Oryctolagus cuniculus: one gene and its partners. The protein of the gene in region 4 interacts with the protein of the main gene of each other region in a pairwise test. Links are inferred from orthologs where the notes say so. Each region holds a gene or a part of one and is shown on either strand. Other genes may lie near its edges.

The links. The genes of interacting proteins can lie anywhere in the genome.
Region 1: the proteins of ADRB2 (region 4) and KCTD13 interact in a protein complementation assay, tested with the Homo sapiens proteins (2 studies listed by BioGRID and IntAct, with this or other methods). The link is inferred for Oryctolagus cuniculus from reciprocal best matches to the Homo sapiens genes ADRB2 and KCTD13.
Region 2: the proteins of ADRB2 (region 4) and VAPA interact in a protein complementation assay, tested with the Homo sapiens proteins (2 studies listed by BioGRID and IntAct, with this or other methods). The link is inferred for Oryctolagus cuniculus from reciprocal best matches to the Homo sapiens genes ADRB2 and VAPA.
Region 3: the proteins of ADRB2 (region 4) and GPR37 interact in a protein complementation assay, tested with the Homo sapiens proteins (2 studies listed by BioGRID and IntAct, with this or other methods). The link is inferred for Oryctolagus cuniculus from reciprocal best matches to the Homo sapiens genes ADRB2 and GPR37.

Annotation. Positions count from the first base shown.
Region 1 is NC_091450.1:7,326,683-7,330,694, forward strand, and holds the start of KCTD13 (BTB/POZ domain-containing adapter for CUL3-mediated RhoA degradation protein 1), read right to left. Parts: upstream 2,801-4,012; 5' UTR 2,287-2,800; coding exon 2,043-2,286; intron 95-2,042; coding exon 1-94. UniProt on the Homo sapiens protein: Substrate-specific adapter of a BCR (BTB-CUL3-RBX1) E3 ubiquitin-protein ligase complex required for synaptic transmission.
Region 2 is NC_091441.1:67,079,282-67,083,353, reverse strand, and holds the start of VAPA (vesicle-associated membrane protein-associated protein A), read right to left. Parts: upstream 2,801-4,072; 5' UTR 2,520-2,800; coding exon 2,441-2,519; intron 1-2,440. UniProt on the Homo sapiens protein: Endoplasmic reticulum (ER)-anchored protein that mediates the formation of contact sites between the ER and endosomes via interaction with FFAT motif-containing proteins such as STARD3 or WDR44.
Region 3 is NC_091434.1:160,977,254-160,981,499, reverse strand, and holds the start of GPR37 (prosaposin receptor GPR37), read left to right. Parts: upstream 1-1,446; 5' UTR 1,447-1,875; coding exon 1,876-2,901; intron 2,902-4,246.
Region 4 is NC_091437.1:36,224,077-36,228,078, reverse strand, and holds the start of ADRB2 (beta-2 adrenergic receptor), read right to left. Parts: upstream 2,801-4,002; 5' UTR 2,563-2,800; coding exon 1,368-2,562; intron 717-1,367; coding exon 709-716; 3' UTR 673-708; exon of another isoform or gene 1-672. UniProt on the Homo sapiens protein: Beta-adrenergic receptors mediate the catecholamine-induced activation of adenylate cyclase through the action of G proteins. The beta-2-adrenergic receptor binds epinephrine with an approximately 30-fold greater affinity than it does norepinephrine.

The sequences.
Region 1 (4,012 bases), on a different chromosome or scaffold from region 4:
TCTCGGGCACTCTCAGGCAGTGGCACAGACCCGTCCCGCAGGTAGTTGAGGATGGTACCAAAGTGGCGGCCGCTCCGGTCAATCAGCACCCAGCCTGGGGAGAGGCAGGAGGGAGGGTGGCTTTGCCGTGGGCCCTGAAGCTGCTCGATCTTTATGAAAAAAGAATCCCATGGCCACAAGAAAGTCTGAAAACCGATCTGTCTCAAACCTTGGCCAGGTCAAGGAGCCCCCTTTCAAACATCCCCCGTGCGTTCTCCCCTCATTCCCTCCTGAATCTCTTCTACAGTGGGAAGGCTCTCACAGAGAGAAAGTTCTTACGCTGCAGGTACTTCAGAAAGGTCACGTACAAATGCAATTACTAGGGGCTGGCACTGTGGCGTAGTAGGTTGAGCATTCGTCTGCATAGTGCTAGCAGCCCATATGGGCACCAGTTCGAGTCCTGGCTGCTCCACTCCTGATCCAGCTCTCTGCTATGGCCTGGGAAAGCAGGGGAAGATGGCCCAAGTTCTTGGGCCCCTGCACCCATGTGGGACACATGGAAGAAGTTCCTGGCTCCTAGCTTCAGATCTGCCCAGCTCCAGCCGTGGTGGCCATTTGGTGAGTGAAGCAGCTGATGGGAGACCCCTCTCTCTGTCTGTAACTTTGCTTCTCAAGTAAATAAATATATTTTTTAAAAAAATGGAATGAGCCGGCGCTGAGGCTCAATAGACTAATCCTCCGCCTAGCGGCGCCGGCACACCAGGTTCTAGTCCCGGTTGGGGCGCCGGATTCTGTCCCGGTTGCCCCTCTTCCAGGCCAGCTCTCTGCTATGGCCCGGGAGTGCAGTGGAGGACGGCCCGGGTCCTTGGGCCCTGCACCCCATGGGAGACCAGGATAAGTACCTGGCTCCTGCCATCGGATCAGCGCGGTGCGCCGGCCGCGGCAGCCATTGGAGGGTGAACCAATGGCAAAAGGAAGACCTTTCTCTCTCTCTGTCTCTCTCTCTCACTGTCCACTCTGCCTGTTAAAAAAATATATATATATAATGAATGGCTAAGTTTATTCAGGCACAGAAAATGTTTGAAACCCATGAAAAGTTTCCTTGTGGCATGCATTTTCCATTTTCTTTCTGAAGACCCCTCATACACCTGGCCTCCAAACTTCTCCGCACCAAAATAAGCTTACTTTTCATTCCACTTTTCCATGAACTTTTTGAAGCCCTCGTGCATAATTACCTTATTAATAAACCTCCAACCCCTAATGTTAACGCCAATCATCCTATTCAAACCGTCTAAGCCACTCACTGCCCATTTAAGCTGTACGGTCTTCACAGGACTTTTACTCCCTGCAGTTACAGTTGTATGCTGTTTGTTTACTTATCGCTTTATTTATTGTGCCCCACCCCTAACTCCCTAAAAAGACTCATCTTGTCAGATCCCCTCACCAAAGTCTCTCCAGCACTAACTGGAACTTTACAAATACTGAATGAATGAATGAATGAATGGTTTGCCTTGGTATCTTCTCCCCACTTCTGAATTTTCCTGCCCTCTCCTATTAACCTCTTCTGAAACCCCAGCCCCCCTGAAGCAAACCTGGGCACGCGCCACGCAAGCCTCAATGCGACCCTCCAAGAGGGTTAAGATTCACCTGCCAAGGGAACTCCCCATCATCTCCTTCTCCTGCTACAGTATGCATTTACTGATGAGCCCTAGAGTGTTCAGGGACCTGTGTCAGGGGACCACAGAGACACGGACAGCTCTCCACGCAGAGGGGAACAAAAGGCTGGGGGTGGGGGGCGGGACACTGAGGGAGGCTGCCCGGAGGGCCGCTGCTGGCGGCAGGGCTGGCTCTCACGTCTTCCCAGACGAGGGGTGAGGGGTGGAAGAGCTGGTGACGGGGATGGTGAAGGGCACGGTGGTGCCTGGAAGAGTCAGAGGTTACGCGAGGGGGCAGGGGCCGGAGGGAGGGGAGACGTGAGACGGGGAAGGGGCACGAGAAGGCTGGGCGACGAAAGCCTAGGGAAAGCGAGCCGGGGCGCCGGGGTCTCCGGGCGGCGCGCCTACCTCCGGCGTCGGTGAGCACCTCCACCCGGCCGCTGAACATGGCCTTGAGCATGGTGTCCTGTCCCGTGAGGGTTCGCAGCGTGGTGTAGTGCAGCGAGCCGCCCACGTTCAACTTCACATACTTGCTGTTCGGGGTCAGCGGCTTCAGACCGTAGGCGGCGGAGCCAGGCTCGAGACCCGAGGGCTTAGGGGCTTCCAGCGACGGGGCCGCGGCAGCCGCCGGGCCCGAGGCCTCGGCCGACATGCCAGGTGGCGGCGGGCAAGCAGCGATCCCAGGTTCTATCCGTGTCCTCCGGCCTGCTCCCACAGACCCCGGGATCCCGGCTCTCCAGCCACACAGTCCGGCGTACACGCCCACTCGCCGCCGCTACTCCAAAACACTGGCCCTTCCGTCCATTGCGCTCGCACCACCCGGAAGTAGGCGCCGGGTATCTGCGCAGGCGCGGCCAGGCCCCGCCCCTGATCCTGGGGGCGTGGCCGCGAGTGCAGAGCATGCGCAGTCGTCTAGGGAGCGAGTTCGCTGGCGGACTGCGTTGCCCCAGCAGGATGAGGAACCGGAGAGATGAGGCTGAGGAAGGGCGCGGACCCCTGCCGGACGTGGAAAGCGAAATTCCCGGGCCGTGATGGGGTCTCTGCTCCCCGAACTTCGTGGGCATGAAGGGAAACCTCGCTCAGAGAGGACGGGTGTTGGCAGTGTCCACTTCCCAAGCCCCGTACCCTGACAGGATAGGAGAACAGAGCCCCGAGGCGGGAAGTGTTAAAGCAGGCGGCGGCGGTGCTAGGGCTGAGCTGGAGCTGAGAGGGAGCGCAGGTGCCGAGACCTCAGGCAGGAAAGGCTTGGTGTCTCAGCAGAGAGCACTTCCGGGGTGGCCGGAGCCGACGGACAAATAGACTCCCGGGTAATGTGATACCTAGCACCCAACCCGGAGAGAAAGAACGCACTGTTCACGAAAACTGTGGTGGGAGAGACGTGTTCTTAGCTGACCTGACCCGCACCCGGGTTAGAGGCACAGAGAGAGATGGTTTTAATCATGCGCCTTCACGTCTGGCCAGGGAGGTTAGCTGGAAGAAGACCAGACACAGGGTCAGAGCTCTGGTTTCAACTTTGCCACCCATCCCCTGGGAGGTAGCCAGGAACTCAGCCTAGGGCTTCCATGTGGGTGGTAAGGACCCCAATACTTGAGCCATCGGCTGCTGCCTGCCAGGGTGCACATGAGCAGGAAGCTGGAATTGGATGCAGAGATGGGACTCGAACCTAGGAACTCCAATATGGGTTGGATGCAGGAGTCCCAACTGGCATCTTCAACTGCTGCACCGGATGGCCACCCCAGGGGTGCACATTTAAATGCCTGCAGGAGATGGTAGGAAGGCGAATGAGCAAAGTGGGCCAGTCGTAAGGTATCAAGGAGAAATGGGCCTGTTATGAACCAGAGATCGCAGGTTCTACCAAAAGGGGTCGCCAATTCTGACTTTCAAGTGTAGCAGAGGAAAAGAGAGGCAACTCCTGACAGCTGGAGCCGATTTGCACTCTTCCTTCCAGAAAGCCTTGGTGTTGCCAGGCACTGGCTTGGCACCCACACCCACAGCCGGGCTTCGGTGATGTCCCGTTGAGCACGAACAATTTCACTGAACAACCTCCGACGAGGTCACTCAGTGACGGGTGGGTGGAGAAAAAGCCCATTCCCTAATCATGTCTGAACCCAAAAACAATCGCATACTACAGACCACCAACATGGTCTAACATGACCCCTTCCACCACTGGGTGAGGGACAGCCGCTTCTTGAACAAGCACAGCTTTTGCCATCATTCAGTCCTGTCCTCTTCCAGCTGACGTCGGTAAGCTAACTGAAAAGAACGAGTTTGCCTCCTGTCAACGTGCAGCCTAGAGCAAAGCCCCCTTCCCTGAGCCCTCCTAGGACATCCCACAGCAAGCCCAAATCCTTCCCACCGGGCATCTGTGTTTGGCCTCT
Region 2 (4,072 bases), on a different chromosome or scaffold from region 4:
CATTCCTTTAAACAAAAAGTTAAGGGTGATTTAGGACAAACGAAGTCTTAGTGTCATCATCAAACCAGGCACAACAAATAGACGGCTGATTCTAAATAAGTCTCTTCAGCTGGTGTTGTGCCGTCCACTTAAATGTAGACAAGTTTCCACCACAACGAAAGGCAACCTTTGAAAAACACTGAGGAGGCAAAAAACCAAGCACCAAAACTGTCAGCCACTAGTTTACTGCACTGCTCCTCTCCCCCAATCCTCGTGCTCCCCGTGAACCCACCTCTAAAGCAGCACACACTCCCTGAGAAACTTCGGTCCGCTCTGCGCCTGGCATTCTCCACTGCAGTGTTTACTCAGCCACTCCCTTAGCTCAGCCCTCCAGACAACTGGAAAGCAGCCTCTTCCCGGGCGGCTTCCGAAAGGTGGAGGAGGGGGGCCTTGCTCCTCAGAGGTGTTTGCGCCTCGGTAACGTGGTCTGCACTCACTGGCCTTTTCTGGACGACTTCTTCCACAAGGCGAGAACAACCCGTTCTAACATCACAGCTGTGTATTACCAGGTACTCACAACACGTGAAATGCATGAATAAGACAGTTTCTAAGTTTCTGTTGTGGAACCTGCTTCCTAAGTTACTGTGTGTGTCGTCGTGTCTTTGGTTGTTTTCTGAACTTGCTTCTCCACTATGAATATTACCAAAGCGACATCATAACCTCTCTAGGGAGAAACCTGTCAACTGCAGACATCCTGACCTAAAATTTGTTTTAAAGGCTTCTAAGTCCTAATGACAATCCATCTATGCTTATGCAGAAGCTGCCTATTGTCAGCCAGTCAAAACGTAAAATCAAAATGCTCTTGAAAAAATATACATCACATTAAATTCCTTCAACTTAAGACAACGGCTACTTGAGTAGGGTATAATTACACCATATTCCTCAAAGGTCCCCCTCCCGCTAAAACTATGTACTATCATGGAACAGGTACACTTGCTACAATAGAATGTGCTGGCTACACCTCAAAATATGCCCTAAGAGTTGCCTTTCGAACAAAATCCTTACCTAACAGCTCACTTAGGTTTCCATTTAGATTTGCAAATTCACTCAGTTTGCAAAGTCATCATACAACTGTTACTCTCACAATGCCAGAAGATATTATTTTTCCATTTCCTAAAACTATTTTAAAATTTCCTCGCGGACTTTTCTTTTGGACTCAACTCTACACAACAATAAAGGATTTCAGTTGTCTCTTTTAGCACTGGAGTTGCCATACACCGCACCAAAATCGGTCTCATCCAAGCTACTGCAACTGAAACACAAGACCCTGCCTTCCAAATCGGGGATTCACTTTGCAGTCAACCAAAGAAAAGACAGAACCTGCTTTCTATTTAGATCTTCGCACGATGAGGATTCCTTTAAAAAAAAAAAAAAAAAAAAAAAAAGTGTAACCTGTTTAACTCGTTTCCCTAAAGTACCCTGCATACGGGAAAGCCAATGGACCAAACGGGGTCACCAAGACACACCGATCACTCACTCCATCACAGGCAGAGCCCTGAAATCAGCAGAGTTCCAGAGCTGGGTGTCACCTTATCACCCTTCTCAGGGTTTGGGGGGGAGGGGGGGCCGCAAACGCAAAGGCCAAAGTCAGCAGAACTCGAGTGGAGGGCTACGAAGGCGCCGCCACGGGTCTGCCGCGCGCGGAGACGTCACGGCCGAGGGGCAGGCAGACCCACTCCGAGCAGCCCACGGCGATCCACTCGGGGCTGACGCAGGCCTTCCCGGCCCGCACGCGCCTGGGGCTCTGCCAACACCTCCGGACCAGTCCGGAGCGCACTCATGAGCGCTTCTCCGCCTCCCCCGGCGCTCCGGTTCCCTGACAGCTGAGTTACCCACGGGACAAAAAGGCGGGCAGCGACGCCCTCCGCCAGGACCCAGGGGCCGGCCCCACCCAGCTCGCCCGGGCCCGAGCTGCGGCCCTCACTCCTCCCGCGGGTCCGAGGGCCGCCGCGCCCGCCCTCGCCGCTGACAGCCAGACGCCGGCCTGCGCCACCTCCACACGCCCCGCGCCGCTGCACACCCGGGCGCACGCTCGCGGGCCGCCCCTCACCCACGCCCGCCCCGGGCCTCGGGGGCCAAGGACGCGAGCCCGCGGCCGACTGCACCCGGGAGGCGCCCCCGCGGGACCGCAAGATGGCGGCGGCGGCGCCCGGGCCGGTTCACCCCCACCACCACCACCCCGCCCGCCTCCTCGCCCCGGCCGGCGCGCGCAGCGAGGCGCGGGCGACGGAGGGAGCGGGCAGGGGCTGGCCGGCCGCGGGAAGGCGGCGAGGGAGCCGCCGGAAAATGGAAAGCGCCCGGGCGTGGGGGAGGGGGCGCTCCCTGGGGCCGCGGCCCCAACCTGCCCTCGAGCCCTCTGCTCGCCCCCTCCCTGCCCGGAGGTGTCCTCCTCCTGCCTAACCTTTGAATTTGAGGTCTGTGGGCGGGTCGAGGACCAGGATCTGCTCGTGCTTCGCCATGGTCCCGGAGGCGGACGCCATCGGAGAGACAGCGCAGAGCGGGGGCGCGCCCGCGGCGGCGGCGGTTTGCTGGCTGGGGGCGGGGGACGACGGCGGCGCCGGCTCGGCGGATCTCTACGAGGGGGCCAGGCTCACGGATCCCGAGCCCCGACGCCTGCCGCTCTGTCGCCGGTCTGGTGGGTCGCCCGCTGGGTCAGCAGCGCCGGGTCTCACAACTGACTCAACCCCACACCAGCCGCCGCGGCCACGCGCACTGCGATCCTCGGCGCCCCACGTGACAGCTTCTGCGTGCCTACGTGCGCGCCCCGGCGGCCGAGAGAGGCTCTGGCGTCCGTCCCGCCCTCGAGGCCTGCCTAGCGCGGCACTGGGCTGGTGCGCCTGCGCGTCCCCGGCCTCGCGGCCGCGAGCACAGTCCAGCTGTCAAGGGAACGGGCGTGAACAGAGGGCGGAGTAAAGCCCGCAAGGGACTGGCGCCCTTCGCAGCGCTGGGCAAGAGGCGCAGCCCTCCGTCTCGCTGAGCGCAAAGTGCGAAACTAGGGAACCTGCCACGGCAATGCATCACCATTTTTCAAAAGGAAATGCCTAATGGAAGGAAGTAGCCGGGAAGCGCCGATTCACTACAACTCCCAGCATGCTCCTTGCCGGGGGAGGACTCTCCGCCGAAGGACTGATCCTTTGCGGCCTTGCGCGGTGCCTTCTGGGAATTGTAGTAGCGGCTGCTTGCGGGCGGGAAGGAGAATGAGGTCCGTTGGAGAAGAGTGGGGTGGGGCCCGCCGACTCTCTTTTTGGCTCTCAGACAGCGTCTCGTCCGCGCTAAAAAAGAAAAAAACTTTCGAAGGCTGACTTGCAGCTCCCCCCCAACCCTTACAGCAGGGATTTGTCAGTTTGCTCTGTAGTTCTATCCACCCGTCTATTGGTAGGGCTGAATTTTCTGTCGTGTTCCCATCCAACCTCGCCTGCTTCCTGAATTCGCTCCAGTGATGCAAAGAGAGATGAGGAAACGGACCTCGTGAAAGAAGCAGAGGCGCCTTGGGGGAGATATGACAAAGCACATGTTAGAACGCGAGAAATGAAAGTCAGAATCTGCAGCGCTGAATTCAGTTGCTGTATTCTGTTCTTCAGTTTTGATTAATGACGGATCCGAACCAAAACAGTTGTCACATTCACGTGTCAGAAACGAATATCATCTGCATCACTTATGATAGCCTGTAGTAAACTGAAACGAAAATGAAGAAAATCCCCGCCGCAAAGTTGCTGACAAATCATCAACCGATTGCCAGGGTAATCGGGGACAGGAACAGCAAATGAAACAAATGAATGCGTTGCAAATAAATCATTGCATTGTATGCTGCTGCTTGAATTTAAATCCCTAGGAAGCATCAGAAAACAAAGGGCATTGATGCTGGTGCCATGAAGGAGCAGCCCAGTTTGTCTAGAAAACAAATGAGACAAATGGAACAGCAGACGGGACAGAGGCACAAAGTCCGACCTTTCCTGTGCAATCCAGGTACCAGAACCCATCCGGAAATAGCTCTGCAGATCAGCTAATCCAGCACACACAGGAAACTGTGCCA
Region 3 (4,246 bases), on a different chromosome or scaffold from region 4:
TGCGTCTCTTGTAAAGACCCTTGTGATTATAACTGAATCCCATCCTCTAAGTCGCGGGCAAGGTAGCCTACACACAGGCATCAGGGATTACGGTGTGGGCATCCTTAGCTATCTACAATTGGCATATTGTTTACTGTTTTTCCTCTCTTTCTAGATGCGTTGCCCTATTTCATTTCACAATGTGCTTCTTTCTTAACCACGTTCTCTTAATCAGTTTGTCCTCTGTCTGTTTTATTAGCTACACCCCGACAGCTGGAACAGCGCTGCGCAGTGGTGGCAGGCCCGGAAGGCAGAGCTGAGCAGTGCTGGGAGTTCTGCGATTCTCCCCTCAATGTAATCTCCCACTTGGCTATCACTCGGACAAAACTCCGTGCCCTGTGCTCTGGGCGCTTCGAAGTGACCTCGAACTCAGCGTGAAAGGTACAGGTGCATCCTGAGCAGCCTCACCCCGTCCCACTTGCGAGACTGGCGAGCACGAAAACCTCGGATCTCCCTCTCTCCTGCCTCAGCTCTCGAACCTGAGAAGGTGAGCGCCTCACCTTTCGACTCCCTAGGGGCGAGGCCTGGGCATGCGCACCTGCCTGGGCCAGCGGAGACGGTGGCGCTGCTCTCGCCCCTTCTACCCACCCCGGTTGTCCACCCCCCCCCCCGCCCCCCAACACACACACACACACTCTCTCATCTCTCCTCCTTCCTCCAGCCCCATCCCGGCTCGGGGACCGGTCTGGCTGGTTCCGACATCTGGGGACTTAACCTGTCCCGCCCATCCGTGGCCTCCAGCCGCGCAGGCTCCGCGCGCCTCCGCCCTCGCCGCTCCCAGCCCTTAGGCGTGAAAGCCACTACGAACGGTTTGAATGAAACGCCCGTGGGCTTAGTGGGTGACAAACCAGCAGGGGATCCCGTCTCCCCACAAACCAGCGACTCTCAATCGGTGCAAGGCGGGGGGCGGAGCGGCGGAGGCGCGGGCGCGCGCAGCGGCTGGGGAGAGGCCGGGCCACCTCCCCCTTCCCGGCCGCGCACAGCCTCGCCCGCGGCGGTTCCAGGCACCACACTCCCCGCGGCGCCCGCCGTGGCGGTGACAAGCTCCGGCGGCCGGCAGCACAGCCCGCGGCAGACCGGCTCCCCCCTCGCCCCCATTCCGCCCACGACTCCCTCCTCCGCCGGGGCACGGCGCCCAGCTGCAAGGGCCGCCGGCTCGTCAACTTTGAGCCGGAGGAGAAGCAACTTTGGCCGCGGGGTTCGAGTCCCGCTTCTCCGGTCGCTGGGGTTAGGCGGGGCGAGCGTGTCCCGGCGCGTCCGCGAGGCGTCGGACCTCCGCAACCTGTTTCCAGCCCAGCTGGGAGTGGGATTTGCCTGCCAGCCGTCTGGGGGAGGGGGCCTTGTTTTTCTTTGCGTCTGGAGACCTCGGCTTGCAACTGGATAAAGCCGTATCAAAAGGATGTAAACAGGCAGAGCAACTGTTACCAAGAAGGCAGCCGCCCCAAAAAGCAGGGAGCAGCGTCGGGGGTGTGGGGTGGGGACTTCCTCCCAGCTTCTCCCAGGCGCAACAATAATCGACACTCAGGTGGCGGTTGCAACTTTTCAAGGTCAGCCACAGGGAGTAGTCTTTCCATCTCTGCACCTTGGGGGCACACAGAGGCTCGGATTGGATTTGACTGAGAAATGCGCAGGACGCCAAGCAAGAAAGGCTGGTAGAGGAGGGGGTATAGTGTGTGACCCCAAGACTCATCCCTCATCCTCCCCAAAACCTTCGGTCTCACGCTGCCCCGGCTGGGTGAGTATGTGACATGTGTGTAACTCGCAGGAGCAACTTGGGCAGCAGGTGTCGATCCTGAGCGGGAGCCGCCGCGGCTGCCGGTGAGCCCTCGCCCAGCCATGTGGGCCCCGGACGCGCCTGCCGCCGGCACTTTGCGGCTGCAGCTTCTGCTGCTGCTACTGCTCCAGATTTCCGCGTCTTTTGCCTTCGGGTTTGCCCCTGCGCCCAGGAATGAAACTTGTCTGGGGGAGAGCTGTTCACCTATACGGAACCAGCGCCGCGGCAGAGGCTCGTGGGGACCAGAAAATTCTGCAAGAGACGTCCTGAGAGCCCGCGCGCCAGGGGAGGAGAGGGAGGCAGCGCTGCGCTCGGCGCCCTCCTGGGACCTGCCAGACGCCCGGGGCGGTGACCCAGGTGCAGGCAGAGGGGCGGAGGCGTCGGCAGCGGAGCCCTCGGGACCTCCGACCAGGCTGCTTGGCTCCTGGAGATGGAAAGGCGTCCGGGTCCAGGAGGTCCCCGGAACTTTGAGGAGAGGAGACCCCACGGCCCTCCAGCGCTTCCTTCAGACCTCAGAGGACGAAGAGGAGGATCCCAGGGGCGCTGGCATTTCCGGGCGCAGCCAGGAGCAGAGTGTGAAGACGGAACCTGTAGCCAGCGATCTCTACTGGCCAAGGAGAGCCGGCAAACTCCAGGGTTCCCACCACAAGCCCCCACCCAAGACGGCCAGTGGGTTGGCAGGGCACGAGGGGCGGACATTTGCACCCCCTGGCCGGGCGCTGGCCCAGAATGGGTCCTCAGGCGAAGAGGTCCACGAGCGCGGGGGTCCCCGCCGGGGTAACAGCACTAACCGGCGAGTAAGGCTGAAGAACCCCTTCTACCCGCTGACCCAGGAGTCCTACGGAGCCTATGCGGTCATGTGTTTGTCAGTGGTGATCTTTGGGACCGGCATCATCGGCAACCTGGCGGTGATGTGCATCGTGTGTCACAACTACTACATGCGGAGCATCTCCAACTCCCTCCTGGCCAACCTGGCCTTCTGGGACTTCCTCATCATCTTCTTCTGCCTTCCGCTCGTCATCTTCCACGAGCTGACCAAGAAGTGGCTGCTGGAGGACTTCTCCTGCAAGATCGTGCCCTACATCGAGGTGAGGGCTCTGGGTAGGGGGGCGGGGCGTCAGGCTGCTAGCTTTCTGGGTTTCCAGGCTCACGGCATCAGAGGCATCAGAGCTGTTGCTGGGCCCACCGACTCGCTGGACCTTTCCCCTTCATCTCCAGTTCTCCAATTCTCATTCCAATCGTTTATGCATGTATGTATAAAAAGAGGCAGCTTTGTTAGCCTGCAAATTCGTCTGTTCCTGGGCTGTGAAAAAAAAAAAAAAGACATCTTATAGTGCATAGAATGGGTTGAATCACTCTCTCTGAAGATGGTGTGGTGTAAGTTTCTGCTTTGGCACCCGTCAGAGAACCTAGGGTTAAATAAATGGCCAGCCCATAGTTGTCGTTATCATGGCCCAGCAAGAAAATAAAAACCAGCAGTATTTGCCAACTAGATTTTTGTGCTTCAGTGTGGATTTGTCTCCAGGAAGATTATAGCCTTTTTTGAATCGCAAAGTTGGAGCAATATTTTATTTTAAAAAAGGAAATCTGCCTTTCTTTGTTTGTCAGCTTGGCCTCATGATATATTAATAACCTCTCAAATTAGCTCAAGTGTCTGGCTGTCTTCTATGCTATCACATCCACATTCTGTCATGTCTTGCTCCTTTTCCTTTTCTTTCTCCATTCTTTAACAATTTTATTTAGTTCTGAATGGATGAACTTAAGCTAAAATAAGACTTTGGCCACAATGGTACAGAATTTATCATTGTCGAGGTATATAGGACATATTTTCTACAAGTATAAAGGATTGGCTATTTTAAAGAATTGACTAACACCAGCAAGTTTCTTAAAAGAGGAATGTATTATTTTGCAAACTTTGGAAAGGACAATCATTCTGAGTAAATTTCTACTGCTTCATCCCGTGGCTAGGGTCCTGAACCGTCCGTGTGGTAGTTGGAATTTGCTCTTTAAATGGCCTCTCTGTAAACACCAGCTCTTGGAAGGGGCCCAAGTGTTTTGCTGCCAGTTGTGTCTTTGGCCAGCTGGCCCTTGATTTTCTCCATTCAGACTGTCCATTTCATTTATGGAAGCAGAAGAAGGGAAACCGTAAATATTCCGGAGCCCCTGATCCTGTCTGGCACCAGGGCCAGTGACACTATGTTCAACATTGTCCCAGGGCTTTAAGCTACTGGATAAGTAAACAGAAAACAGTACCTATTTAGAAGGACCAAGGCAAGAGACAGTAAATAAAACCCTCTGTTATCTTGACAGGGATCAGATGCAGAATCATTCCAGGGCTACTAAATCAGCTGTTACTGCTTCACCAGAATCCAGACTTCTCTTGTTGCCAAGTTCAAAGTACCTCTGAAACATCTATATTTACTTGGTAGACAG
Region 4 (4,002 bases):
ATTGGCATCGCATGGGCAGAAGCTAGGGATATTGCTCCACATTCAGTGATGCATGGCATAATCCCACAACGGGCACTCTCAAGGCTGATAATGCTGAGGGTGCCGAGGAGAGCCAGTGGGAGAGGGAAGAAGAGGCAAAAGTAAAGAAGAAGGGTTAAAACCCTGTTTCTAGGCCGTTAAGTAGTCATCAGTCACGTGCTTTCCAGCTTCTCTCCCTAGGACCAGTGTCATTTTATTTTCCCTTGGAATCACGTTTGGGTTGCTTTCTCGCAAGAACATCTTCCTTATCCTTAAAATGCAAAGCCCTGATGCAATACAAAGAGCTCTACTAGAAGATACAGCTGAGATATTAAAAAAAAGAGTTCTTAAATGAGTAGAACTGGGAGGTGGGGGCGGGGGGGGGGCGGTGAGGTGGCAGGTAAAGGGACAAACTGTATGCCCAGAGCTCTGTTTCTGTGAGTCAGTGTTTCTGAGGTCACAGAACAGAATAACACCCGAGGGCAGACTGAGCTATGCTGAGAACAGGCAGAACCGATGTGGGTCACAAGGGTTAGGAGAGATACAGGTTTGCCACAGCAGAGTCAGAGGCGAACGAAAGGGTTAAGCAATCAGTGCGTGTCATTCTTGTATCATTCCACATTAAGCCGCCAGGCAGTTATGACAAATAGTTACCTGCGGTTTCCAGTGGGAGAGGCAAGGACACTCCAGTCAAGGGGCTTTGGAGAAACAGGTGCAATGAAGTCATGGTCAAACAATTTATTTACTGTAAACTTTAGACTTTGCTCAGGAAAACAAGTGAAGCTGCCCCCTCGAATCCCTGCCTACAACACCCGGTCCGAGCAAACAGGAGGAGCTGGGAAGAGTCCACGTTCACAGCTGAGAGGTCCGGGATACTCAAGATCCTCAAGTCCAAGGGTGCAGGAAGGAAAAATCTCCTTCAGGTACAAATTACCAGCAGCAATATATTACCCCTAATACTTGACCACTGAGGTAGATACACGGAGAAGTCATCAAAACGTAGCAGACCCAGGTCCTCTAGGACTCAAGCCCTTCGGACATAAACTTAGGTGTTCCATGCAAAAGAGGAACTGAACTGTACAAGAAACAAATAATCACTCAAATACATCTTCTCTCTTTTTTTTTTTTTTACAGGTTAAAAAAGATTAAAAAAAAAGGCAGAAGGCTGCCTTCCTTCTGCGTCTCTCTATACAGTTTTATTCTAAATGTGTTACACTCAAGTTAAATAGTCTGTTTAGTGTTCTGTTGGGGGAGGGGTCCTTAAAAAGTAGAAAAACTGCATTACAGCAGTGAGTCATTTGTCCTACAGTTCCTGCCGGGGGGATCAATGCTATCGTTAGGCACGGTACCTTGACAGTTCACAAAGTCTTCCATGCCCGGGGGGTCCTCACACAGCAGCTCGCTTTCTTTCTCTTGCTCCAGGTGATAGCTACTCTGCTCCCCTGTGTACTCAGTTTTGCCAGTGCTGTTGCTGGAGTAGCCATTCCCGTAGGCCTTCAAAGAAGACCTGCGCAAGCACAGAAGCTCCTGGAAGGCAATCCTGAAGTCTGGGCTCCGGCAGTAGATGAGCGGGTTGAAAGCAGAGTTGACATAGCCCACCCAGTTGAGGAGGATGTAAACTTCCTTCGGGATGAGGTTGTCCTGGATCACGTGCACGATGTTGACGATGAAGAAGGGCAGCCAGCAGAGGGTGAATGTGCCCATGATGATGCCTAACGTCTTGAGGGCTTTGTGTTCCTTCAAGCAGAACTTGGAGGACCTGCGAAGTCCATGTCCATGCCCGCTTCGCCCATCCTGCTCCACCTGGCTGAGGTTTTGGGCATGGAACCGGCCCTCTGATTTGTCAATCTTCTGGAGCTGCTTTTTGGCCACCTGGAAGACCCTGGAGTAGACGAAGACCATGACCACCAGGGGCAAGTAGAACGACACGATGGAGGAGGCAATGGCATAGGCTTGGTTCGTGAAGAAGTCACAGCAGGTCTCCTTGGCGTAGCAGTTGATGGCTTCCTGATGGGTGGCCCTGTACCAGTGCATCTGGATGGGCAGAAAGGAGGTAAGGCCCGACACGATCCACACCATCAGAATGACCACGCGCGCCTTATTCTTGGTCAGCAGGCTTTGGTACTTGAAGGGTGAGGTGATGGCGAAATAGCGATCCACTGCGATCACGCACAGGGTCTCAATGCTGGCAGTGACGCACAGCACATCAATGGAAGTCCAAAACTCGCACCAGAAGTTACCAAAAGTCCACATTTTCATGAGAATGTGGCTCGCCCCAAAGGGTACCACCGCTAAACCCATAACCAGGTCAGCACACGCCAGTGAGGTGATGAAGTAATTTGTGACCGTCTGTAGACGTTCAAACTTGGCAATGGCTGTGATAACCAGAACGTTGCCAAACACGATGGCCAGAACAATCAGAGACATGACGATGGCCAGACCCACCACCCACGCCTCGTCTGTTTCCTGCGAGATGTCGTGGTCCGGCGCGTGACTTCCATTGGGCGCTAGCAAGAAATCGCTGCCGTTCCCGGGTTGCCCCATGGCTCGCAGGCGGGCAGGTGAGCGCCCGGGGGCGGCTGGCGGCACAGTGGCCCCGCCTCAGCGTGCGCACCTCCGGAGGGGCGCTGCGGACCGCGAGCGGACTCCTGGAAGCTTCATTCAGCGGCCGTAGTTGGATGCGGAGGGTCGCGTGGGTCACGTCCGGCGCACTCGGCTTGTGGGTTGCTCTGAGCCCTCCGTGCCCGCCAGCTCCAGCCTGCACTTCAGAGAAGCCGCCTCAGAGTGCGTTCTGCCCGTTATGTGCTCAGGACTTCGGGGCCACTGCCTCCCAGTGACGTGAGGCAACTTTCGGCCAATGGCGTGCCCGCAGCCCCGAAGGGGCGAGGCACCTCTCCCCTTCGCTTCCCTCCCCTTGCCCGCCCTCTCCTGGGGCTGGCCCGGGTGGCAGGCGGGCCACCACTCCCGGGCTGGCTCCTGAGTGCTAAAGCGGGGGCTGCGGGCTCAGCAGCGAACCAGCGAACTGAGCTCCTCTCCCTCCGGCTGCTACCTGTCTGCCCTGGGCGCTTGTGCGCATAATGGCGCTCGCGACATTTGGAAACAGGGACCAGAGTGCCATCAGAACTTGTACATACAAGCACGATGCACCCCTACGGACATGCTCAGACTTATCTGGAACTCAGGGAGACACGACACACCCACCCAGCGCACCAACATGCCTCTCGCGCGCGCTCACACACCCACCCAGCGCACCAACAAGCCTCGCGCGCGCTCACACGCAACCCACAAGCACTGTTGCCGGCAGTCACGGCTCACACGCGGTCAGAGTCAGACATAGAAGCAGCCAAGGGCACAAAGGCACGGACAGGCACACGGAAAGAAGTAAACACACTCTACGCACATAGAGGTGCGTGCGCGCTGGGACTTGGGAGCGCACAGAGCCACAGAGGCACGCGACCCTGTGCGGGTACCCACAGCTCTTCTGGCTCAAGCCCTCAATTGCCACACACCCCCGTGCTCCACCTCTCCCCACCCCGTCACCCTTTCAAACATTTGGCAAGATCACAGGAGATGACTTAAACAGCTGCCGATTCCCTCAGCACGGTCCCTGTCAGTTACTTTGAATGCTCTCCTCGGGAAGGCGGAGAGTTGGGAAGGTTTTACTCTGCGTTTCACTGCAGCTTGGCTGTGTATGGACCTAGCTTGTGATGGCGAAGAAAGTTGCGTGGTTTTGTTGCTGATTGTTGAGAGTGTAGCAGCCCCCCTTCTGTCATCTGTTGGAATGGAGATGCACTGAAAATGAAACAGATTTCCTTTCAAACGTAATGTCTTTGATAACCCCATGGCAACTGCAGAAAAAGCAATCTTTTCAGAGGCTAGATAATTTGTATCTGTTGGATTGAACCATATGAAGTTGCCTTGGTTGGTTGCCTCTGATTTACAAGAATGGACATTTCATACAGTTTGTAACATTATGACTGTACT